2 linked regions of the Callithrix jacchus genome follow. The protein of the gene in region 1 interacts with the protein of each later gene in a biochemical or structural test. Links are inferred from orthologs where the notes say so. Each region holds a gene or a part of one and is shown on either strand. Other genes may lie near its edges.

Region 1 (3,811 bases):
CTTTAAAAATCACTTGAGGTGTAAACTGGTACTACTCTGGGCAAACTAGATGTATAACCACCTTACCTTTAGCTTATAGGGCTCTAGATAGATTAAGGTCTCTGAATATCACTAGCCAGATATTTAAATTTAATTTTTTTTATAATAAAAGACATTTTTAACAATGAGTGTAATTTTTAACTGGTACTGACATGCATTAACAATAACTGTACAACTTAGATTTTAAATAAAAAATATTTACCTTCACTGCAAACTCCATGTTTGTAGCTTTATGTATACATCTCTTGCAAACAGAGTAGGAGCCAACTCCAATATCTTCTTTTACTTCATATCCATCAGTAAACTGAATACTGTTCCTGTGTAACTGCTACAAAAAATTATAAATTGGTGAAGAGTCCCATAATACCTTTAGTGCATTTTATAATAGGGAAGAATGTTACTCAGCATGCATTGTTGACGCTCTACATATAAATGAGTAAGAATAAATACATCTTTATAGTACTTATTCTTCTATAAGTGATTTTGGAAGTGTTTACTAATGAAATGTACAGGAAGAAATGTGCCTTAAAAAAGCTTATGTTAAAAATAAAAATTGAATTTGCACAATAGAAAAAGCAGAGCTACTTGATGTGAGACCTATATCCTTGTCTGTGATTCAGCCTCATTCCACTTCTGAATTGGCTATAAGTTTTCAAGCACCTTTGCAAATGAGAGGTTTGAAACCTATGTATAGAAGAAAAGGATTTAAGAGGATTCAGAATTAGAACATCTGAATTCTTGTCTCAGATGTACCACTTACAGGCTGTGTAACTTTGAGCCTGTATTTTCTCAGAGAGTAATGCTGAAGATTAAATAAAACAATGTATTTGCAAGCAATACTTATTAGCGCATTTTGGACTTTCAGTAGCCACACCCTCCCTTCTTCACCCTGAAGTCATAGCTTTATACAATTTCTGCTAAAGAAGCTGGTCATGGGTTAGGGACTAATAACATATACAGCAGATGATAAACAGCAACTTACTGATTCCATAAACAGGCTGAGGAAAGTTGTGCTGCCCTTTGCTATACTGATATGAGACCTCCATGCCCATGAGCTTTGTATACTATGCATTAAAACTTGAATTCTGTAGAATATACAAGTTTGTGGTTTCTATGTTAGGTACAGAATTTATAATTTAAAAAGTTGCCATACATTCATGTGCTTGCATAGTGAATGGCACAGACTATTCCAACATGAGCTCTGCTTAAAAACCAGTGTTTTAATTGGTTTTCTACAAAGTGGAAAGCAGCGTAACTGACTCATGAAAAATCTTTAGAGCAAAAGCAACTTAATCATCAAGCAAATCCAAGTACAAATTATATACTAAAAACAATCCACTGCTTCAAAACATATATCTAGTTCCCTTTGATTAGAAAGATGACTTAAGATTTGAGTTCATTTTTATTTCTTGTATCTTTCTAAGGCAAACATTGCCAAACTATGGTCACTGAGCCAAATCTGATTTATTGCCTGTGTGTGTAAATAAAGTTTTATTGGCACACAGCCATGTCCACTTAATTATGTATTGTCTGCAGCTTCTTTGTGCTACATAGCAGAGTTGAGTAGTTGTGACAGAGCCCATATAGCCCACAAAGCCTCAAATATAATCTGACCCTTCACAGAGAAAGTCTGCTGACCCCTGTTCTAAGGCATCAAAGAACCAGAAGACCTCAATTCACCATAGCTGACCTGATGGAGGCAAAGGGTGAAACAAACTCAGCATGAAAAACATTTTGAGGCACAGGAGAGGACATAAATAAAACAGCTCAACTCTATTTTCAAGTGACATAGGTATCTAGGATTTTGGCTCTTGCAACCTTTTCGATGATAAATGAAAAAAATTTCAAAGAGTAAAGTTAATGATATAAAATGAATTCTATTTTATTTTATTTTTTGAGACAGAGTTTCAACTCTGTCACCCAGGCTGGAGTGCAGTGGTGCAATCTCTGCTCACTGCAACCTCCGCCTCCCAGGTTCAAGTGATTCTTGTGCCTCAGCCTCCTGAGTACCCAGAATTACAGGTGTGCGCCACCACGTCCAATTCATTTTTGTATTTTCAGTAGAGATGAGGGTTTTACCATATTGGCCAGGCTGGTCTCAAACTCCTGACCTCAAGTGATCCACCTACCTTGGCCTCCCAAAATGGTGGGATTACAAGTGTGAGCCATTGCACCCAGTCTAAAATGTATTTTAAATTGCTCATTTAAAGTCAGCAGAAAAAAATCTAATTATTCACAGAATGAACTATATCTTACAACATTCCAAATCTAAAATTATTTAGACATCCACTCACCTGAACAATTGAATGTACACCAACTGTCTGCATAGCTTGGCTTTCATCGTCTGAGGTAATAGCAACAAAACTAAACCCCCGAAAAAGCTGATGTGCATTAGCACTAGGTGGAATGCCAGGTGAATCTGAAAAGAGTAAGAAGTGACAAGATTCATTTGAAAGGTAACTAAGGGAAAAACTGTTGACACTATGACCTTTTTCACTTATTCTGGAATTCTGTTTCTCAGGTACACAGTATATACCTCTTGCTTTCCAGGATACCTGTGAGGTACTGTATCAGATCTTTTCTGATTGTGTATTGCCATTACAACACCAACATCCTAGTCCCTTGGAGCCTAGAAAATAGCTAATTCATTTGAAGAATTAATTGATGAATTATAGGGTTAATGATATTCAAAATTAATGCTGTCCCATGGAATTTCCTGAAATGATGGAAATTTTATCTTTACAGTCTAATATGATAGCCACTAGCTTCATGCAGCTTTTTGACATTTGAAATGTGCCTAGTGTGACTGAGAAACTACATTTTAAATTTTAATTAATTTAAATTTAATTAGCTACATGTGGCTACTGGCTACCATTTTAGACACTGCGGCCCTCAATAATAACCCAGCTGGGGTGGAACAGGGGAGACAAGGTGGATCTACAGCAAATTTAGGAGATTTGAAGATAGCATAAAGGTTATCCTGGAAAAGGTTTGCATTTTTTCTTTTTGAGACCGAGTGCAACTCTGTCACCCAGGCTGGAGTGCAGTGGTGTGATTTTGATGCACTGCAACCTCCACCTCCCGGGTTCAAGGGATTCTCGTACTTCAGCCACCCAAGTAGCCAGGATTGCAGGCGCATGCCATCAAACCCGGCTAATTTTTATATTTTAGTAGAGACAGAGTTTCACTATGTTGGCCAGGCTGGTCTCGAACTCCTGGCCTCAAGCAATCCGCCTGCCTGGCCTTCTTCCCAAAGTGCTGGGGTTACAGACGTGAGCCACTGTGCCCAGAGTCTGGAAAAGATTTTCTGATTGAACAAGAAAAAAAATATATTTGTTATCTTATATCTGTATTTTCACATTTTCTCCTTACCTTTTGGAGTTTTTGCAGTAAACTCAGGATCAAAATAGAATGTATCTTCAGGCCTACCCGTTGCAGGTTTAAATGGTGGATGAATTTCTCTTCTATACAGTTTCTGGAGGAAAAAAAAGAGACTTAGATATATTTTAATTCTAATGAAATATTTCAAGCAAGTTTTCATTCTATACTTACATTCCAGTCTATTGTTGAGAAAAATGAATGCCTTTTAATTTCTTCAACTCCATCTGGTCCTGCACCTATCAAAAATGGATTCATTGGTAATTTTATCTCAAGGAGAAATATACATATTGTTCAGCCTTTGCTTTCAATACTTGCCTAATTAATTAGTTACTTTTGAGACAAGGGCTTGCTCTATCATCCAGGCTGGAGTGCAGTGGTGTAATCTCAGCTT
Region 2 (4,352 bases), on another chromosome or scaffold:
GGCAGCCTGGGCGGAGACCATTCGTGGGACAGGATACGAGGGCAGGAATCAGGAACTGGAGCCCCGGCTGCCAGGAAGTCAGTCCTCTTCCCTCCCAGCTTTCTGTGCTCGGCTCACCGCTTCCTCACACCTTCCTTCCTTCCTGCCTCCCTCTCCTTCCAAGCTGGCCCCCGGCACAACCCTGACAAAGGTCAAACCAACTGAGGATGCTGGGGAAGAGGGGCAGGAGGTAAGGATCATCATATACTGACCTTTTAGGGTGGGGCAGGTGGGAGCTCCATGGGCACTGGGGTAAGAAGAGCTGGGCCCTGCCAGTGCTTTGAGAAGCCTGGCAATTGGGATAACCACCTGTGGAGGAGGCGGCAGCACGAAAAGAATTTCTGTGCCTTTTGACAATAGGTGGTGGTAGATTATCCCTTCTCTCTAATGTTTGGTTCCAAATCCTCTGTGAATTTGAGAAGGAAGCCTGAAGATTAGGAGTTGCACCCCTCCCTCCTCCACATCTGTTGCAGCTGCCTCAGGCTGAGGGGAGGGGCCATCCCACCCCTCAGCTAGAGGTCCCTGTATTGGGCAGGAGGGGACTTCCAGGCACTCAAGTCTGTCAGTCTTTTGCCTGAAGCTGGAAGTAATCACGAGAGGCAGAGGGGTTGGAAGGGAGAGAGTAGGGGTTCAGCTTTCCTATTTTAAATTATACCTGGGCCCCAAATTAAAGCAGTCCTATAGTTTATTTTCTTTAATATCATACTTAATTGATTTATTCTTTAAGCTTTTATCCAGCTTTACTGGGGGGCTGTCTTTATTCCTGTAACAAGGAAATTGGGGGTTCTCAGGCTCGAGGGTCAGCCTGGAAGTGAGGAGAGGCAGGACCCCTGGGCTCCCAAATGTTCACTTCAGTCCAAGAAGGAACATGGATTACCTGTGGGCATGGGGACAGGGATTAGCCTTCAGCCCTTAGTCTAGAGAAGAGCCAGACCCAGGATGGGGCATCAGGAGGAAGGGAATGGGGCCTATGACTCTCCCAGCCCACCTCTCTCTCCGCTCTTCTGCTCTGGCCCTCCCTGCCTCTATTTCCGTTTCTCTCCATCTCCCTTCATCATCCATATCCTTTCCCCCTAATCCTTCAGTCTCTCTATTCCTCCTTTCCTTTCTATAGGCTTTTACCCCTTCTAGCATGTCCTACTCACCTATCCAACTTAGCAGTAGCCATGAATATGTAGGACTTCTGAGATCTGTGCTTTCCCATCTGAATACTCAGAGCTACAATTAGGAAGGGGTGAGCATCCCTGCTACACAAAACACAAGTTTGGTGGGAGTGGCCTGGAGATTCAGTGGTTGGCTGCCTACCAGCTGGTGAAGATATCCATCGTGACACTGCGCATGAGGATCTGTGAGGGTCCGTGTGAGTGAGGCGCTGTGATTCCGTGACCCTCTTCATACATGATAATACATGCATACACGACAGGCACGGAAGTGAGGAAGTAGGCGACCAGGGAAGCCTGCAGCCTGGGGCATCACTGGCAATTTCCCCAATGGAGTATTTAACTACAAAGGGAAGCGCAATTAAAGCTAATCGCTCTGACAGCCTGGGGCCCAGACACACAAACCTCTTTCCCTAACTCCCAGTGGTTCCCCCCACCTTCACCCTCCCTAATGTGTTTAGTCCATTCTCCAGCACTCTTTGCACTTCTCTGACCATCTCCGTCTCTCACTTCCTCCCTCTCCCTGGTTCCCTGACTATCTCTGGACCTCTCTGGAGATGTCTGTCTGCTTCTCACACACATTCCTCTCATTCTCTCTGACTTGGGCTCCATTCTTGGCTGACTCATACTCATTTTCCTCTCCATTTCTTCCACCCCCTCCTCCTCCATCCCTTGGCCACTCTTACCCAGAAACTAGCCACTCCCAGCACCCTAAACCCTAACTGGACCCAGGAAGAGAGGCCACCAGAAGCCCCTACTCTCATTAGCCCCCAAAATCCTGTCTCCTTGTTTTAGAGGAATGATACTAAGATTTTCTCCTATCTTTCCCCACTGTTTTTAAAGAGGAACAATCTGCAGCCAGGGGCTGGGAAAAGCTGTCAGAAAATCAGGATGGACTTGGGGACAGTGGCCCTTTCTGTCCACTCAGCTGTCCTGCTGGACTGATGACTTGGAACCCGCAGTTCAGAAGACTCCTCGTGGGATGCCCCACCCCACAGAGTGGGGGTGTGGTGGGTGGCCGGATGCGTAGTGCAGGGACGTTTGTGATTTGAAGTGTGCTAGACGATGTGTATAAGTCACATGGCTGTGTGTCACTGTGTGTGCTGGCGTGCCTTATAGGTGTGCGTGTTTCCTTGTCAGTTTTGACACGGATTCTATGAAATTAATAAGGGTTTTTCCGTTAGATACATCACTCCTCTACACCCCCAGCTCCTCCTTCCCTCTGGACAAGCTTTCCGCCAAGCCCACCTCTACCCCAGCTGCAGCGGGCCGGGGGTGAGGGCACACGGTACCAGCCGTCCGCGGAACCGAGACAGGGCTGGGCCGAGAGACCGCCAGGGAGGCGAGTCCGAAGCCAGGGCGGGGAGGGAGGGGCGGGCGCCGGCCTGGCCGAGCCGGCTGGGCGGGAAGCAGGCTGCATCCTAATCCCCAGGCCCCGGTCCGACTCCCGAGCCGCAGCTCAGCGTGGCCGGGCTGGCCGGAGCCACGCCGCCTCCAGCACACGCTCGGCGCTCGGGACGCACCGACCACGGGACGGACCCCGTGGGGCCTGACTGACACAGGCGGACCCGTCCGGGGTCCCCGCGCTCCCCGTCCGGCCCCCGGTGTCCCGGGTCGTCGCCCCTCCAAGCCGAGACCTCCACATCTGCCCCTTCCCGCAACACGTCTCCTCCCCGCCCCTCTCACCGCCTCTGGAGCTGAGCGCTCAGGGCGCGGGCACTCCTGAGTCCCCGGTTCCCGAGCAGCGTCCGGAACCTCCTCTTCGGCTCCCGCCGCCGCCGCCGCCGCCGCCGCTTCAGCCGCCGCCGCCGCCGCCTCTTCCGCCCGCGGAGCCCGAGCCCGAGCCCAGCGCCGCTCACTCCACCCGGCTGGCCGGTGATGTCAGAGCCGGGGAGGGGCGGGGGGCGGGGAATGGCGTGGGGGGGGGGAGGGGGGAGGCAGGAGGGGGCGGGGGACCGAGGGGCTGGGGTTCTGGAAGACTCCTAGGATGGGGACAGAATTGGGCGGAGGGCTGGAGCACAGGCGGACTCTTCCCCCTGAACTGCGAAGCAATCCTCATATTTAATTCCTTCCCAGCAGGGCACCCTACTCCCCTTTTGACCTTTGGATGACCACGGTGGCTAGGACCCCTGGGAAGCACAGAATAAGTTCAGTTAAGGGGTTTGGAAAGCCTTTGGGGACTGGATTCTCTTAGTTGCCGGCTTTGGTATTTGTAAAAACTTCTTTCCTTGCCTTAAGGGTCAGGGGCGCCGTGGTAAATGACTGATCAGACTTATCCACGTTGGGAGTGAAGGTAGGGGGGTCCGGGCCACATAGGGACTTGAGGAGCCCTGGATCTTCTCTTTCCAGGGTGATGCCTGCAGGGCCTCTTGTGTTCCTCTCACCTTTCCCAAACATGCCCCACTCCTGCCTTCCCCCTACCATGATGTAATTTTATTTTCTGGGGAGAAAAAGAGCAGCAGTGAGCTCAGCATGCAAATATAGACAACTTGCAGAGCCACACTTAGCTCCGTCTCCTAGTTCTGCCCCTCTGCCCAGGCCCACTGTGGCAGCTCTCACTTCCCCTCTACCCCAGGGACTTTCCTCCCCCAGACTCTCAGCCAGATTGAAAGAGGAAAGGGAGAATTGGAGAAGCATCTGTTTTCACCCTCATCTCTAGCCTAAGGGGTTCTGCCTCAGCTCTGGGCAGGGTTTGGCCCTGGAAATAATTCTGTCCCGGGGTGGGTCTTTCCTGCCAAGAACTCCAGCAGGCCCAGGTTGGGGGATCCTCTCAGTGTTTGTGCCACTTACAGGATCACCCCATCTCGCCTTAGTTTCAACCTGGTGGAGACTCCTCCAGAAACCTCCGATGAGCCCCTCCTTTCTCTGGTCCACACCACTCCTAGAAGAGGCTCAAGTTCCTGCTGCTGTGGGCTTCACAGCCTTTCTCTGCCGTTTCCTCTCCCTAGCATTCCCTGGCACACCGTAATCATTTGCCTTTGTATATATCGTGTTTGCTCAAAAGCTATTTCCTTGTAGTTTCTAAGTGAAAGGCTCGGGTCTGGAGACAACAAGACACTGGGCCTTGGGTGTGTGCTAGCTCCACCCCTTCCTTGGACAAGTTATACCTGAAGCCTTAGCGTCCTCGCTGGTCAGATGAGGGTGCCAGTGCCT

What was found.
Region 2: the proteins of RPS6KA3 (region 1) and PEA15 form a complex in vitro, tested with the Homo sapiens proteins (2 studies listed by BioGRID). The link is inferred for Callithrix jacchus from reciprocal best matches to the Homo sapiens genes RPS6KA3 and PEA15.

Annotation. Positions count from the first base shown.
Region 1 is NC_133524.1:20,690,682-20,694,492, forward strand, and holds part of RPS6KA3 (ribosomal protein S6 kinase alpha-3), read right to left. Parts: intron 3,657-3,811; coding exon 3,592-3,656; intron 3,515-3,591; coding exon 3,412-3,514; intron 2,459-3,411; coding exon 2,334-2,458; intron 368-2,333; coding exon 242-367; intron 1-241. UniProt on the Homo sapiens protein: Serine/threonine-protein kinase that acts downstream of ERK (MAPK1/ERK2 and MAPK3/ERK1) signaling and mediates mitogenic and stress-induced activation of the transcription factors CREB1, ETV1/ER81 and NR4A1/NUR77, regulates translation through RPS6 and EIF4B phosphorylation, and mediates cellular proliferation, survival, and differentiation by modulating mTOR signaling and repressing pro-apoptotic function of BAD and DAPK1.
Region 2 is NC_133519.1:20,158,155-20,162,506, reverse strand, and holds the start of PEA15 (astrocytic phosphoprotein PEA-15), read right to left. Parts: upstream 3,035-4,352; 5' UTR 2,886-3,034; intron 1,543-2,885; 5' UTR 1,454-1,542; coding exon 1,345-1,453; exon of another isoform or gene 1,185-1,344; intron 446-1,184; exon of another isoform or gene 252-445; intron 1-251. UniProt on the Homo sapiens protein: Blocks Ras-mediated inhibition of integrin activation and modulates the ERK MAP kinase cascade. Inhibits RPS6KA3 activities by retaining it in the cytoplasm. Inhibits both TNFRSF6- and TNFRSF1A-mediated CASP8 activity and apoptosis.